Linked DNA regions of Schizosaccharomyces pombe. The gene in region 2 interacts genetically with the main gene of each other region. Each region holds a gene or a part of one and is shown on either strand. Other genes may lie near its edges.

What was found. A genetic interaction does not mean that the proteins touch.
Region 1: mutations in azr1 (region 2) and yip3 together harm fitness more than expected from each alone (negative genetic interaction), as found in Schizosaccharomyces pombe (one large-scale study listed by BioGRID).
Region 3: mutations in azr1 (region 2) and ftp105 together harm fitness more than expected from each alone (negative genetic interaction), as found in Schizosaccharomyces pombe (one large-scale study listed by BioGRID).

What each region holds. Positions count from the first base shown.
Region 1 is NC_003421.2:407,045-410,856, forward strand, and holds yip3 (Rab GTPase-binding protein), read right to left. Parts: upstream 1,822-3,812; 5' UTR 1,780-1,821; coding exon 1,714-1,779; intron 1,650-1,713; coding exon 1,200-1,649; 3' UTR 554-1,199; downstream 1-553. Other genes in the region: proteasome regulatory subunit Rpt4, read left to right, coding at 1-207; condensin complex non-SMC subunit Cnd2, read right to left, coding at 2,795-3,812.
Region 2 is NC_003424.3:3,797,236-3,802,201, reverse strand, and holds azr1 (mitochondrial protein phosphatase Azr1), read right to left. Parts: upstream 3,173-4,966; 5' UTR 2,959-3,172; coding exon 2,522-2,958; exon of another isoform or gene 2,472-2,521; coding exon 2,067-2,471; exon of another isoform or gene 2,019-2,066; coding exon 1,961-2,018; 3' UTR 1,890-1,960; coding exon of another isoform or gene 1,851-1,889; 3' UTR 1,810-1,850; coding exon of another isoform or gene 1,731-1,809; 3' UTR 1,668-1,730; coding exon of another isoform or gene 1,585-1,667; 3' UTR 1,517-1,584; coding exon of another isoform or gene 1,455-1,516; 3' UTR 1,403-1,454; coding exon of another isoform or gene 1,264-1,402; 3' UTR 955-1,263; coding exon of another isoform or gene 811-954; 3' UTR 761-810; coding exon of another isoform or gene 613-760; 3' UTR 569-612; coding exon of another isoform or gene 559-568; 3' UTR 519-558; downstream 1-518. Other genes in the region: CGR1 family ribosome biogenesis protein, read left to right, coding at 485-518, 559-568, 613-760, 811-954; cdd1 (cytidine deaminase Ccd1), read left to right, coding at 1,264-1,402, 1,455-1,516, 1,585-1,667, 1,731-1,809, 1,851-1,889; succinate dehydrogenase Sdh1, read left to right, coding at 3,756-3,854, 3,976-4,966. UniProt on the Schizosaccharomyces pombe protein: Confers azacytidine resistance in high copy.
Region 3 is NC_003424.3:1,784,632-1,790,908, reverse strand, and holds ftp105 (Ubp5 interacting protein Ftp10), read right to left. Parts: upstream 4,540-6,277; 5' UTR 4,472-4,539; coding exon 4,452-4,471; exon of another isoform or gene 4,410-4,451; coding exon 4,367-4,409; exon of another isoform or gene 4,305-4,366; coding exon 4,272-4,304; exon of another isoform or gene 4,204-4,271; coding exon 3,557-4,203; intron 3,459-3,556; coding exon 3,251-3,458; intron 3,195-3,250; coding exon 2,817-3,194; intron 2,718-2,816; coding exon 2,463-2,717; exon of another isoform or gene 2,411-2,462; coding exon 1,217-2,410; 3' UTR 554-1,216; downstream 1-553. Other genes in the region: protein saf5, read right to left, coding at 1-284; gus1 (glutamate-tRNA ligase), read left to right, coding at 5,824-6,277. UniProt on the Schizosaccharomyces pombe protein: Required for the localization of ubp5 to the Golgi apparatus. Involved in detoxification of cadmium ion.

The DNA of each region.
Region 1 (3,812 bases), on a different chromosome or scaffold from region 2:
AAACAAGGCGAAATTGACTATGAAGCATTGGTTAAACTGACAGATGGAACAAATGGTGCTGACTTGCGGAATGTGGTTACAGAAGCAGGATTCATAGCCATTAAAGAAGATCGCGACTATGTCATTCAGTCCGATTTAATGTCCGCAGCTCGTAAGGTTGCTGACCTGAAGAAACTTGAAGGTACAATTGATTACCAAAAGCTTTAGTGCACATATATCCAAAAAGCCATGAAATGATAAGTTTACCGATGAAGATTATACGCGCAACTGCATAGTTATGATTAAAAAGGTCGAATAGTAAGTGAAACGTTTACTTTTAATATATTCCGACTCTTTTGGCTTTTATCATGTATATATGAATATGCTTGATGGGAATCTATGTATATTATCGTAAGGCATATCTGTGATAGTACAAACTGATTTTCTTCAATATTTGATTATGTTTTCCATATCCTCCAAATACCAAACATTGTTTTTCCACTCTACATAATTTACTGGCGACAAAAGAAAAAATGATCAAGTAAAAATAAACAATTAATTATACACATGAATTAAAAGTAAAGCAAATGTTTGACTAGAAATTATTAACTAACCAAATGCACTGAAGTGTAAAGAACGAACTAAATATATTGAACGAAACCCGGTTCAAAAATGCAAAAATTCTTCTCTTCCCAGGAAGGATAGTTTGAAGTTATCCTTAAAAGGTAGTAGACCTTTGACAAAGAAACGAGGAAAAACGTCTAGTACGCTAAGATAAAAGAATAAGAGAGGTGAAAATCATAGCTGGCTTCATATAAGCAGCCAAACTAGTTATTATAGTACTAGATGAAGCTGAATGCGCAGTTTAGAAGTCATTTTATCCCATAATTTCAAGAAAGTAAAGGCAAGATAAAGATAGCCAGATAGAGTCATTGAAAAAGACGACGAAAAGGCGTAAAACAAAGAGCGCAGAAATGAATAATCTAAAAAATTACAAATGAAGTATTAACGTATTAAAAGGAAAAAAGTATGAAACGCAAATAACTGATAATAAAATGATTAGCAAGCTAGTTTCTTTAAAATCGGCGTACAGTTTCCCTCTTTTTGTTTGTCAAAGAAGAGTAAGCGTAGGAAATGCCAGTATTCCCTTTGTAAAGACATGTACGAAAATTAAAGCAACTGTACCAAGATAACCAAAGAGGCTGTTAGAAACAATTTTTTTAGACTTGTTGCTCGACAGTCTCAAATGCCGATTCAACAGGAGGCTCAAAGAAAGCAGCGTGTCCGAATACACAGACACAGGAAGCACCAACTAACCAAATGATAGTTTCGATGGGAGATGCGAACAGCCCAAGAGGAATCAACACGCATGCTAGAATGACATAAAGATTTTGGTTGGAAATTACACGATGGCTAAGTTGTAAATCAGCTCCTTGAAGCTTACGAATACCATAAACACCACCAACACCAATTCCAATGACAATTAAAAGTAAAGGGTTACGGATAAGTGCGTAAATAACGAGCATAGCAATGATTGCAAGATAGTTAGAAGAAAACCTCGAAAAGTTGAAGCTAATTCTCGACTGAGCTTCACTGAAATTCCTAGGTCTAGAAATTCTACGAACATCCAAGAACTCGCCCACCGATTTAAAACCACTTAGATACTGAGCCTACCATTTTGCGTTAGTGAATTGATCTTTTCAAGTTTACTACTCATAGTTCATTAATTCATACCCTTGAAGCGTAAATTTCTGAGAAAGTCTCCGAAACTTTAGTAATACTCAACGACAGTGCTGACATTATGAAAAACCGTAGTAGGTGTCTTAGATATAGGGAAAGGATAAATTCTACTTTTCCTGGATGTTGACAAAGTATTCTAAGCCATTGATTGTTACCCACTGTAAAGTACATTGAGAAAGCAACGCTAAATAGATATTGTGCAACAGAAAAAATTGTAATAATTGTATTGCATAACTCATTTTATTTAAATTATGAATCACTATCGTATATAGCGTAATTTTGCTTTAAACGCTATTTCAAATCTATGGTAAAACTAGATGAACTAACGTTGCTGCGAAAGTTCATAGATTGCTTATAAACCTATTTCTTTAACTAAAAGGATGTATTTTAACTTTATTTTACTGAGCCAAAGTCCATTCGTTGACGGTGTTGAAATTATTCTACAGCTTGGTCATTGACAAATTTCATTTTCTCTGATAATTCATTTAATAATTTGTATCAAAAAAAAATAGATTCTTGAGAAAGATTAACATAAAAGATAAAATTACCCTACATTTCTGTACTCAAATCGATATGTTCTAACTTTGAAAGGGTTTCACAATATATGAATAACCGTATATTGGTACAATTTAATCCTATTATAGGTAAAAAACCTCACATAGAGACAATAAATAATTATTATTTTTTGTTATATTGTCGAGAATAGAAGCATGTAATGAATGCAATATCTCGTTATTTCCAAAGAGTCAACTGCTAAGTGAGTTCCAACAGAATTAACAGGCAGAAGCAAGATACTGATGTCTTCAACGATCACAAGATAAAAGGAAGGTGTATTTTTTACAAAAAATTTCGCTGTCAGCTTGCTCCACAAAATGCAATTTGCACTCTTCATTTTTCACAACTCTTCAATGTCAAAAAGTAGTAACAGCCTAAAAATACGAGCTAGTGTTTTTATTATTCAAGGTAGATCAAAAAGAGTATAATTTCCGGCTATCTTGAAAATGATTCACGCTAGCTAAAAGTATGCGATGATGACTAATTAATGATGACCTGCATCATTTCGATTCTACACACTTTAAACATCATTTTCTAATGCTTCTAGCGTCGTCAAGTTAGGACCTGGCCTAATAAAAACATCTGAAAAATCTTCGTTGCTTGTAAGCTCTAAATTATGTTCATTCGCCAAATGTAAAACACAAATAAAGGCAAAACTGGTGGATATATCTTTGAGTTCTTTTTTCTCGTATGTCTCCTCTAATTGATTGACAGTGGAAAAAAAAGATTTGACTGGCATGTTGGTTTCTTCTGACTCCATCTCCGAACCCTCAATATGAGAGTTGATGGAATTTTCTTTAATTGTGTTTTCAAGATCTAGACATTTCCATAGCTTTTCTTTCAGTACTCGCACATCAACCTTTTTAGCACGCTTCGCATAATTCAGCATATCTGGTTTTGCCAAACGAGCAGTTAACAAAAGGTTATCACCAAATCCTGATGATGATGGAGGTGTAAGCAGAGGTGTTTGCTTAGGGCTATCGGAATCTCCAAATCCATACGGGGGTATTCCTTCATCAACATTATCACTGCCATCAGAATCGAATCCATGGGGTTGAATACCGTCCAAATCATTCTCATCATCTAAGGCTTTATTCAGTTGTAGCTGTCCTTCTCCATCAGCGTTGGGTAGAACTGACATCTTTGGTTTCAAGAAAAGCTGTAAAAGCCTCTTAGAATCATATTGGTAGTCATCAGGTAGTAAACATCGATTATGTCTTTTCCAATGAGACTTGGGAAGCTTGAGACTGCTGGTTGCAGGAGTGAACAGTGCTTCGACGTCTACTTCCTGCAAGAAATCAATGGCGTTATCAAGTTCTCGACGCTTTTTCCGTTCCGTGGAAGAAAGAGAACGCGATACATTATCTGAACTTTCAGCCGTATTGGAAGAGTTGAATACAGTTGATGCGTTATTGATATTTTTTCTCAATGCCTGAATGCGCCAATGTTCGGGTCCAGCCCAGTTCTTTTTCATTGACTTGTCAAAATATTCGTATACTCCATTCGCAGCGGCAGTAGAAATAATAGAATAATTTTCA
Region 2 (4,966 bases):
ATTCGTTCACGCATAATTCGATTAATCGAAATATCAGTAAAATATTAAAAAAAAAACAATGAGAACCCCTCAGAAAGTTTAAGGTGTATTTTTTCCTACTGCCAAACACTTTACCGAGGATATTTATTTCGAGTAGAAAACAGAACAAAAATTAGCATGAAAAATAGTATTAAGTATTTCAGGTATCTTTGATTTGCTGTCTCAAGACAATTTTGTAAAAAAAATCCCCAAAACACTCTCGTTGGCAGGAGTCATTATGTCTAGTTTCGTTTCATTTGTTAAGATAAACTGCTATCTTTTAGAACTTTGGTTTTCAATATTAGGCGATTATCACTTTACAAAAGACAATTTTACAACCGAATTAGTTTACTGACTGAAATAATTTAGACTGTAAAAACGAGACTACGTTAACCAAATTTAATGAGTTTGACCGATGGTTCAATAGAGGTTTAGAAGAAATTTTGTACCAAAAACCAGATACACAATGGTTAATGGAACTAAGGGTGTATGTGTTTCAGGTATGGAATTGAGCAAGTTTATTAAGTACTAATTCTTTAGGAAAACCATGGTATGCTTTTTATCAGTATGAGAAAGCTTTTATTAAACAATTAGGAAAACTGAGAAAAAGGCGTACAACAGAAGTGGCCTTGCTGATGCTCAAAGAACTCCGTATGAAAAGCGTATGGAACAAAAGCGGAAGTTAGATGAGATTAAAGAGCGTGAAAAGGAATTGAAAAGAGAGAAAGAAGAACAGCGTGCTGTAAGTATTCTTTATCAGTAGTATCATATCCATTACTAATTATTCATAAGGCTCATGCCGAAAAAATCCGTACCCGTCGTCAAGCAAAAGCAGACCGTGAACGAATGGAATTGTTGCAAGCTAAACTTCACCAAAAGGTGATAGATCGTCGGCGACGCAGAGAGAAGCGTAACAAAATGTTGAAAGAGCGATGAATGGAATTCGGTTACATAATTGGAAAAATAATATTCTTTTGAAGTGGTATAACATTGATCACTTTTACAGTTTCAATCTTCAACTCGTAATAACATCATTGTATTAGAAAAATAATGATAGTAGTTAACGGAATAGTGGATACGCTTTGGTATTCGTTGCCCCGAGGATATACCGGGAGCTCAGCTCACAACATTTCTTCCAACATTGCTAGATAATATCGTTTTAGTAGGTTGTATATATATTCTGCAATTTTTTTGTGCATCGGAGTTATTTTTTTTTCACAAAATAAATCTAGTCGCACTCAAAAAATGGAAAAAGAAGATATTGAGAAGTTATTTCAAGAAGTAAAAAAGAGTTTACAATATTCATATTGTCCCTACTCCAACTTCGCAGTAGGTGCATGCGTAGTATCCGACGATAAAAATACATATATTTATGGAGCTAATGGTAAAAAGATTGTACCGAATTCAAAAAATATGAAATCTAACGTATCAAACAGTTGAAAACGCATCATATGGCAATTGCATCTGTGCCGAACGAGTAGCAATTACAAAAGCAGTGGTAAGATTAAGTTGCGCGTGAAGAGTTGCTACCGCTTTGACCATTATAACTCACATCAACCTTAAAAGAGCATGGGTTACACTAAATTTATGGCTATTGGAGTGATGAGTGCCAAGGGAAGAGTTACGCCCTGTGGTATTTGTCGTCAAGTGTAAGTTGACAGTTAAGGAAAAAGAAATCCTTCCGTTGAATTTACTAACAAAACGTTGTTAAGAATTCGTGAATTTTCGAAGGATATAAATGTTTATATGTTTCATGACGACGGGGGTTATGATATGAAAACGATAGAAGAGGTATGCAAGCGTTACTTGAATGTCATTAACATGATTGGCAGTTACTTCCTGACTCTTTTGGTCCAGATGATTTGAAATGAACGATTCAAGGACCCTTAATGAACTAAAGTAATTCAATATAAGCGTATTTCGTTCGAAGAAGATACTAATTTTACTCATAATTTTTGGACTTTATCAGTAAACATGTAATGGTAGTATCATCCACTTTCCTAATGTGCTTGTTAATATATTTTCACATATAAATTATTTTATCGTACCCTCCTTGAAACTTGAAACCAAAACTCTTTGCCGTTTTTGCGAATGGAGATTCCCATTTCGTATCCAACGAATTCAAAACTGCTTGCCTACAAATGCGCATAGCCAAATCATCAAGGCATTTCTGAACATTCGAAAGAGAGCTAAAATCAACGACGCCAGCGATGTCTAAGATCGACTTTTCCTCTATATTATCAAATATGCCATCGGTAGCTAAAATTACCAAGTCATTGTCTTTAAGGTCGTGCACAGTTGCTTGTCCCATTTTAGGCCCAATGTTTTCAGCGGAACGATAGTTCCTAGGATATATAGCCAATTGATATGGCATATTAAATTGGAGTACTTGGGCAGGTGATGCATAATGGATAGCACCATTTCTAAGGATAAGAAATCCTGAGTCACCAAGGCTTGAAATAAAGTTAGTAAGAATTTATGAACCAATGAACAAATAACGTACTTTAATGAATGAAGTTTACCGTTTCCGCAATTGAACAATGTAAGGCAAGCAGTGCTTGAGCCAGCCTCAACAGTGTTACTTTTCTTCAAAGCTGCATATGCTTTGGAAAGTAAAGTGAGAGGACTTGGTTGGAATTCGTCAGAATTGTTAAAGACTTTTTTTATTTCCCGAACCAATCCCCAACTAAATATTGACGGATCAATCCCCACATTCGCCCAGCCTCCAACTCCGTCAAATACTGCATTTAAGATATAGTTTTCATTCCTTAAATTTATAAAAGCGTCTTCTCCGGCATCCGGGTGATCGAGCGTAGCAGGAGATGGGAAATGAGATTTCTTTTTTTGAAAGCTCGTAGAGGAATATGCAGCATATTTGTGCACATATCGGGCGAACTGTTTTGTTCCAGCGACACGAAAGTAAAGACGAGTAACATTCATTGAGGGATCATAGAAATTGTTTTAATCACCCTGTCTAAGAAGTTATAACAATTGCTTTCTGTTCAACACTTTATAAAGTGTGTATGAACACGACTTACAAAAACAGATATCAGACTCAAAGTAAGAGAATTGTATGATATGTTAGTTTTGTATACCCATCTAATTATATAAATAAACGGTGGGGATATGATTGATGAGTTTGTAGTAAGTGCCTGTACTATTATTGAACTTCCAAGAGTCCTTATATATTTACCAAACTATCATGTAATGCGGTATAATAGTGAGCGAGGAGCATCTTGATAAATCATAACTTAGGAGCAGTTTAATTAATATTTCACGATATAAATGTTTGAGATTAACAAAAAAAAATACTGACTGTTGCTTCAATGCACTTGCACAATTGTTTACTAACACTCTGGAAGAACTAAGCGTCTTGTCCTCGAGATTTAGCTAGCTAATTTTTATCGGAAAAGTTTGGAGGCACAAAGCAATAGTAAAAATATATTTTATACGTAGTTCTTGGGTTTTCACCGAGTAGTACTAAAACTGCTTTTCTTAACGAGCTGAATGATGATGGTATTGAAGCAGTTTGTGTCATTAAACCGAGATGTGGGTTAAGCCAATAATGTAAGTTAAAGTTAAAGACACGGAAATAGAAGAGTATTGATTAGATTTCGCTTATGGAGTTGACGAATAAGAAGGGCGGTATTTCAAACTTCCGCACTTAACGATGCTGTACTTCCTTAAGAGATGCCCAATTACCAAAGCTTCTCCTTCCACCACATCCAACACATATAATGCTCAGATTTCGAAAAGTCGCTCCAAGTCTAAAAAATGGAGGGAATCTGAAGCTATTTTCTACTTCTTCAACTTTAAAAAAAATAGCTTCAAGCCAGGTATGTTTTTTTTTAGTGACTCGTCTTATTTTTGGAAGCGGTGCAAATTTTATGATTTTTAAGCAACCCTTCTTTGTTTCTCTACTCTATGAACAGTTTTCTAAACAATCTAACAATGTAGCCTTTAAGAGCAAAGCAAGTTTCAACATCAGAATCCGTTAAATATCCAGTCATTGACCATACATACGATGCTATCGTTGTAGGTGCCGGAGGTGCCGGTCTTCGTGCTACTTTTGGTTTGGCAGAAGCCGGCTTTAATACTGCATGTATTACTAAGCTCTTTCCTACGAGGTCCCATACTGTCGCTGCCCAAGGTGGTATCAACGCTGCACTCGGTAATATGACAAAAGATGACTGGCGCTGGCATTTCTATGACACTGTCAAAGGATCAGATTGGTTGGGTGATCAAGATGCTATTCATTACATGACTAAAGAAGCACCCAAAGCAGTTTTGGAGTTGGAACATTTTGGTGTACCTTTTTCAAGAACGAAGGAGGGAAAGATTTATCAACGTGCTTTTGGCGGTCAATCCCTTGAATATGGTAAAGGTGGACAGGCATATCGCTGTGCTGCTGTTGCCGATCGTACTGGACATTCTATCTTGCACACTCTTTACGGGCAATCTCTTAAACATAACACAAACTTTTTTATTGAGTATTTTGCAATGGATTTAATCATGGAAGGTGGTGAATGTCGTGGTGTCATTGCTATGAATTTGGAAGACGGTAGTATTCACAGATTCCGTGCTCACAAGACTATTTTGGCTACTGGTGGTTATGGACGTGCCTATTTCTCTTGCACCTCAGCTCATACCTGTACTGGTGATGGTAATGCCATGGTTTCTCGTGCTGGACTTCCTCTACAAGATCTCGAGTTTGTTCAATTTCACCCTACTGGTATCTATGGTGCTGGTTGTTTAATTACTGAAGGTTGCCGTGGTGAAGGTGGTTATCTTTTGAACAGCAAGGGTGAGCGTTTTATGGAACGCTATGCTCCTACCGCTAAGGATTTGGCTTCTCGTGATGTCGTTTCTCGTGCTATGACTGTTGAAATTCGTGAAGGCCGTGGTGTTGGCCCTGAAAAGGATCATTGTTATTTGCAGCTTTCTCACC
Region 3 (6,277 bases), 2.0 Mb from region 2:
ACATATACATATGGCTTATCCTTGCTTTGTTTCGCATGAAGAGTAATGGTTTCATATGGAATTTTCCAGCCAGAATTCTGTTCTTCATCAAAAAGGATAAAGCTCTGTGAAGTTACTAATAAAGTTATCAATTTGCCCAAAGGAAAACTTTCCTCATCACTTCTAATTTTATAGGGGACTGTTTTTTCTTCAAAATAAACGATTTCTTGATTTGGCAACAACTTTTCACCATTTTCAACTTTGCGAATTAGGTCCTTTGGAAGTGAGTCAATTTTGGTAATCATAATTACTTCTTGCTTCCAATAGGTATTTAAGCATAAAAATTATTAAAAAACAGTAATAAGGCCACCTCTACCTGATAATTTATTGAAAGAAAAGGTTTACTGTGCGTTGTATTCTTTTGAAGTACTCAAATACAATATCTTCGCATATTAAGCATTTCGCAAAATCGAAAATATATTTCTACTCTTAACCACACGAATTTTTTATAAATTGAACCATTATGCCAAACAGGATATCGATTTTACTCAAATACTTTTGATATGCAATTTTCGTAAATGACAAGCTAGTTATTCATTGCAATTACAAAACAAACTCATGAATATAAATAGTTTTGTGGAAAAAATAAAGGAAAGGTCTAAGGTCTTTATGAAGTAATCCTCGTTACCCAAAAAATTGGGACTCAAAACTTTTGAAATTGGATTTTTTATTTTATATAGTAAACAGATTTATAAGTGTAGCGAAATAAAGCTAAGAATTTTTTAGCAACCAATTCATTGCTATATAAGGTTATACATTGATTTGGATACATGTAATGAATTAGCATCAGTGGATCGTTTCTCTCATAAAGGTGGGTCTTTCTAAAGTATACGAGATTGACTTTCAAACACCAACTTTCCAAATCAAACTTCGAAAGACTTTTTTAAAGCTAGTGACAAGGTTGGAGCAGAAGATTCTCCAAGCCAGTTTTTAGTTAATTAATAGAATGAAAACAAATCGAAAAGTTCAAAAATCAAAATTAGCAAGGCAAGATTCTGGTCATCAGTATATAATTAAATGATGGCAGTATGTGGATGCAAATCCTCCAAGATAATTTTTTAGTGAACAATTTAATCAATAAATTTTCAAAGTAAGATACCATAACATGCATGCAGGGTTTTCTTCAAATATTTTTTAGGACAAAAGTATACTTTAATTTACGCATTGAATTTAAGAATCACTTGTTGCGTAAACTGGAATCGTGGTTGACACTACTTGGCAGCTGTAAATACAGCAAATCGAGTTTGTCAAGTATAGATTTTGTGGCATTCTCCATTGAGTTAGAACTGTTTTCAGGAGATGCAACTTTCATGATATTTCCATGTTGTTTGTACACTTTAGAGGTTGTAAATAAAGAGGGAGTAGCCATTAAACCTTTTTCATCAAATGACAAAGTATAAAGCCAAACAAGACTTTGAAACCAATTATTCATAGGGACACTCCAAATAAAGTAGCGAAAATTGGGAACTCGAGGATGTACATCATTTAGCACAGAGTTAGCTAATAGTTTAACAGCTTCGTCAGTAGTTGATAATTCTTCATTCATTTTCTTGTATACAGGTAGAGAAAACTGAGATATAATGGCTAGAATAGAATCCAATTCAAGTCTTGAATGCCAAGAATTAAACCACGAGTTGGAAGGTGCAAACAAATTTGAGTCAATTTCTAAATCTTTTCCAAACGGATTGGATGCACATTTTTTAATAAGTTCTGAACTAGAAACATTTTCCGGTATTTTCCCACGCAACTTTCTAGACAGAACCAATGGAGAATCTGAGAATACATCTTGAAGGACTGTCGGGACAGAAATCGAAACATTTCTACTCGAAATATGTGATAAGCCACCGCGTGAACTACTGCTACTAAAAGGGGAGGAAAATTTATCTAATTCATCGAAAGGTGAATCATCTTCAACGGTAGCAACTTTTTTAAAGTCAGTATTTTGGAGTGGTGTTCCATCTAAGGAGGTGTTATCGGATGATTTAGATTCAAAATCACTACTTCCTTCCGAATTGAGGGCCACTAAAGGCTGTGATTTAGTCTGAGCAACGGCAGGAAGTTTCATAGAATTAAGATTCAAAAAAACTTGCTGGAGGCGAATAATAGAATAACTGAGATTAGGGTTTTGAGAAAACTTGTTTTCAACTATACTAGAAATAGCCTGTAACAGGTATTCAAGAAGCAGATGATTGCGCGGATTACGAAAAAGAAACCGAGGAGATGAAAGAGATGAACAGAGTTGCATTAATTTGGCACACGTAACGAAACTTAGGTTTTCAACAAATGGTGCAATATTGCATATGGTCAACAATATAACAGGAGATAAACTGCTAAACGGAGATCTCTTCACTGCTGAAATATGAAAGCTAGACTGGAAGGCGTAAGTAATAAAATTAAAATAAACAATTAATCGTGAATCTTACGATAATCAAAAACTCTGCATAAGACATTGGTGGGACTGAGAACCCAAGGGAAGACATCAATGATTGTGCATTCATACAGTTTCTATTTAGTTTTTCACAAAGAACCTTCTCGCATGATAAATAATGAACGATAAAAAGGCAAATGCGAACAAGGCCGGAATGTTCATTGTCTTCACGATATCTAAGTGCATAAAACTGAATAGAAGTTAAAAACTCCGTAGCATAAGGAGAAGTGATCAAAAATGCTCGGAAACGCTGTTTTAAATTAGTTAGCAAATATAATGAACGCGTAACAACATAAATTAAACAACTGTACAAATAATGTAATATATATAAAAGGACCGTTGAACATACTTTATTATATAAAATTGCTTGCCAAAGAAACAAAATAATTTCCGGAAACGCGATATTAGGCTTTTGTACAATTGAAATATAGGCAGAGATAGCGGAAACTGGTGCATTCAATAGCCGATATAGTTCGTTAACTAAAAATTCATAATCAGCTTGTAATTGAAGTCGAGAAAAATATAATCTATACTGATTTTCGATAGCAGCGCCAGGAGAAAGATTGAGTCTCTGTCTGAAGTATTCGACTGTTGTTTCATGAGGGGTGTGATCTAAAAAAAGCAAAAGGATTTGAGAAGTAAGTTTTGAGAGTGCAATGCTAGAATCATTATAAGGTACTAGAGTTGAATACGAAGCCTTCCAGCTATCAGGTCTAAGTCGCAAAGTCTAAAAACTAAGTTAGTTGTACAACAAAAAAAGGTAAATTTTAAGCCAAAACTTACAGTATTTATAAGGGAATAAAGAAAAACTAGTATAAGCTGCTTATTTGCTACACAGGTCAAATAAGTAAGGGTGTGAGAAGCTACTTCAGAAGATCGATACAGCCTTTTAGAAATCAATACTAACAGCAAACGAAGAACCTCAATGCGATTAAACGCAAGTTCCTTTGTGGTTTTCTCTTGGGTTTCTGTTGTACCAATTCCATTTTCCCTGCAAAAGTGATTAGTTAACACATTGCATTTAACCAAATATAAAAAAGCAAACGAAAAACAAAAAAAAAATATATATATATATACATATATACTTACCATATAATGTATGCATATTGCTCAGGACTTGAAAGAGGAAGCGTAAAGCCTCTGCAAAAAAGCAAACGAAAGACGGTGTCCAGCAATTCCTCCATTAAAGTTTTTTCATGAGTAAAAGTTTCTTCAATAGAGCCAATTTCTTTGATTGTGCTAGAACCACCTACTGATACGTCAGCGGCAGAGACGTCTGAAGAAGCATCAAGGGAGATGGAAGAAGCAGGAAAGGTGCTCACAGGAGATAATGGGACTGAAGGAGACTTCTGCGAGAATTCGTTCTTTTGGGAGATGGAATTTTCAAAATCTAGATCGTCTTGAAAATTACTAAGGTCTAATTCGGAATTTTCCTTTGGTAAATTTCTCTTCTTTCTAAGGCTCCACCAAAACTTTTGATGCCATTCTTCTAAATCGAGTTTCTCATTCAAAAAAGGAATGATTCTAGTAAGTAGGCGAATGCAGTTTAACGCTTCACTCGCTGGTGCCGTTTCAGGATTTGGAAACTTTTTGTCATTTTTCAACGCAAACAAACGAGATGTCAATACAAGCAGCAATTTTTCAAGGTTTACAAAGGCATGATCCCTCATCTCACGAATGAGACCTGGGGGAAAAAAATCGTAAACTTCTGGACAACTTTCAGGTACACTCCAAAGCTAATAAACATAAAAACGAATACATTAGTAAAAGCGTCTTACACAAGTTAATAAAAAAAATTTCATACAGAAACCCAAACTTCATCATCCAACGGTATATCCTACTAGAATTAGCTTGCAATGTTCTCTTAGCGTATCATCCACCCATAAACACAAACCGTACCGGTTGAGAAGCTAATCTTGCAATTCCTCGCTGAAATGCCAATCTAAACAGTTAGCTCATACGAAAATTTCGCAATGTTACTTACTTTGACTCTTGGCCTCCCATATTCTCTAATTAGATGCGAAAACCGTAAAGTGCTCTTGACAAACGCTGCAGCTTCATCGATAATCGTTAGGTACTAGTAGACCCGTCCATGTGTATACTTTATTCGCGCGCTAAGTTTCCAAAAGATGCATTATTTCATATTGCGAAATTTTATTATTGCTCGAGTTAATTTGTTAGCTCTACCGTACATTTAATGATCGTTAGCATTACGACGAATTTTCACATTTACAGTCAATGCACTATGACTCACTATTTGGTAAACACTTTTTAGCAAACTGCAATTTGTTAGGAGGCAGGGTAAGGAAAACAATTGATTACCATCACGAAATGAGAATTAAGGAAGAAATACAGCTTGTCAAAGAGACTTCAGCTACCTGCTGAACTGCATTTAAATGTTTGTGAGTTTTTGGTTTCTACTCGTTATCTCATAATTACCGTGCCATCAGATAAACCTCAAAGGTTTCTCAGTTATAAAAAAAACAAGGAAACTGTATAGCTGTAAACAATTCATCTACTGTATAACTCACGCGGCAAAACCACATGAGACATCTGTCGAAGCAAACAATGATATATTTACATGTTCAGTAGATGAATCGCTAGACTATGCCGTGATATGTTAGAGTTCCTTATATTATATACAATGAAGTACATTATAAATGGCTGTATTCAAATTTTAGCTATTTCTGTAAAATAAACAAAGCAGCTATCTATTTTGAAGTGAGATTTTTTTCCAATTTATAATAATTTCAATTATAAAAGGTGCTCTTTTTCTACTCTCAATGTACTTGAAATGTCATATATGTATTTGATATCGTCAAAATTGTCAATAGCAAGATAACTAAATAAATGAGATGATAAAGATCTTATTAATTAACTTGGTAGATGATTTTTCCTACTTTTTCCTTTAATCCTATAGCTGATTAACAGGTAATTATTAACAAAAAAATGACTTTTCTTCCATTCTTCTGATTGTTTCAACTCCACTCTGTTATTATGTATCTATTCTCTTTTCTTATCGGTATACCGATTTACGTTAGAAAATGGTAAACAGTATAACGAGAAACCCTCGGTTTCGGTTCATATCTGTATAAAATTAGCAGATTAGCGAAAAATGCTGGAAAGAAAATTAATCAAGGTCAGACATGAACTTGAATTCCTTATCTATAATCTAATTTGTACTTAAATAGAATCCTTTTTTTTCGGTCAACTTCGTACTGCGTTCGAATTTTTCTGGTTTGGATTTTTAGTGTTTTGCAAACATACCTTTACCATACACTAATACCCTAAAAATCACTTCGACACCAACTTACCACGAACCAAGTTCGACAATTTTCACCACCGGTTTTGGGAAAATGTCAGTTAGTGTTGCATTAAAAGCAAAGCCCATTGCTTATGGTGCAGTTGCATGTGCAAATTATGTGAATCTGTCTGGTGCAGGAAGCATTTCCGTCAAGTATGAGGACGTTGCTTTATTAGACAAACAAAACAAGGAATCGAACGTCTCCATTCAGCTTAACGGCTCTGATTCTCCTGTATTCGGTTCCAAGTTGGCTTTACAGACTTTCTCTCAAGTCTATCCTAAACTTTTCATTGGCGAAAACGATCGTTCTTTGGTTGAGAGTTGGGTGGAAACTGCCTCTGCCTTAGCTGGTAACCACAACTTTCTTGAGCTTTCTTCACTTCTTGCTCAGTTAGACGACCATTTAATTATGCGCTCTCTTTTTGTGGGTTATTCCCTCACCTCTGCTGATTTTTCTATTTGGGGTGCCTTAAAATCAAACAACATGGCAGCTGGTGCCGTACGCA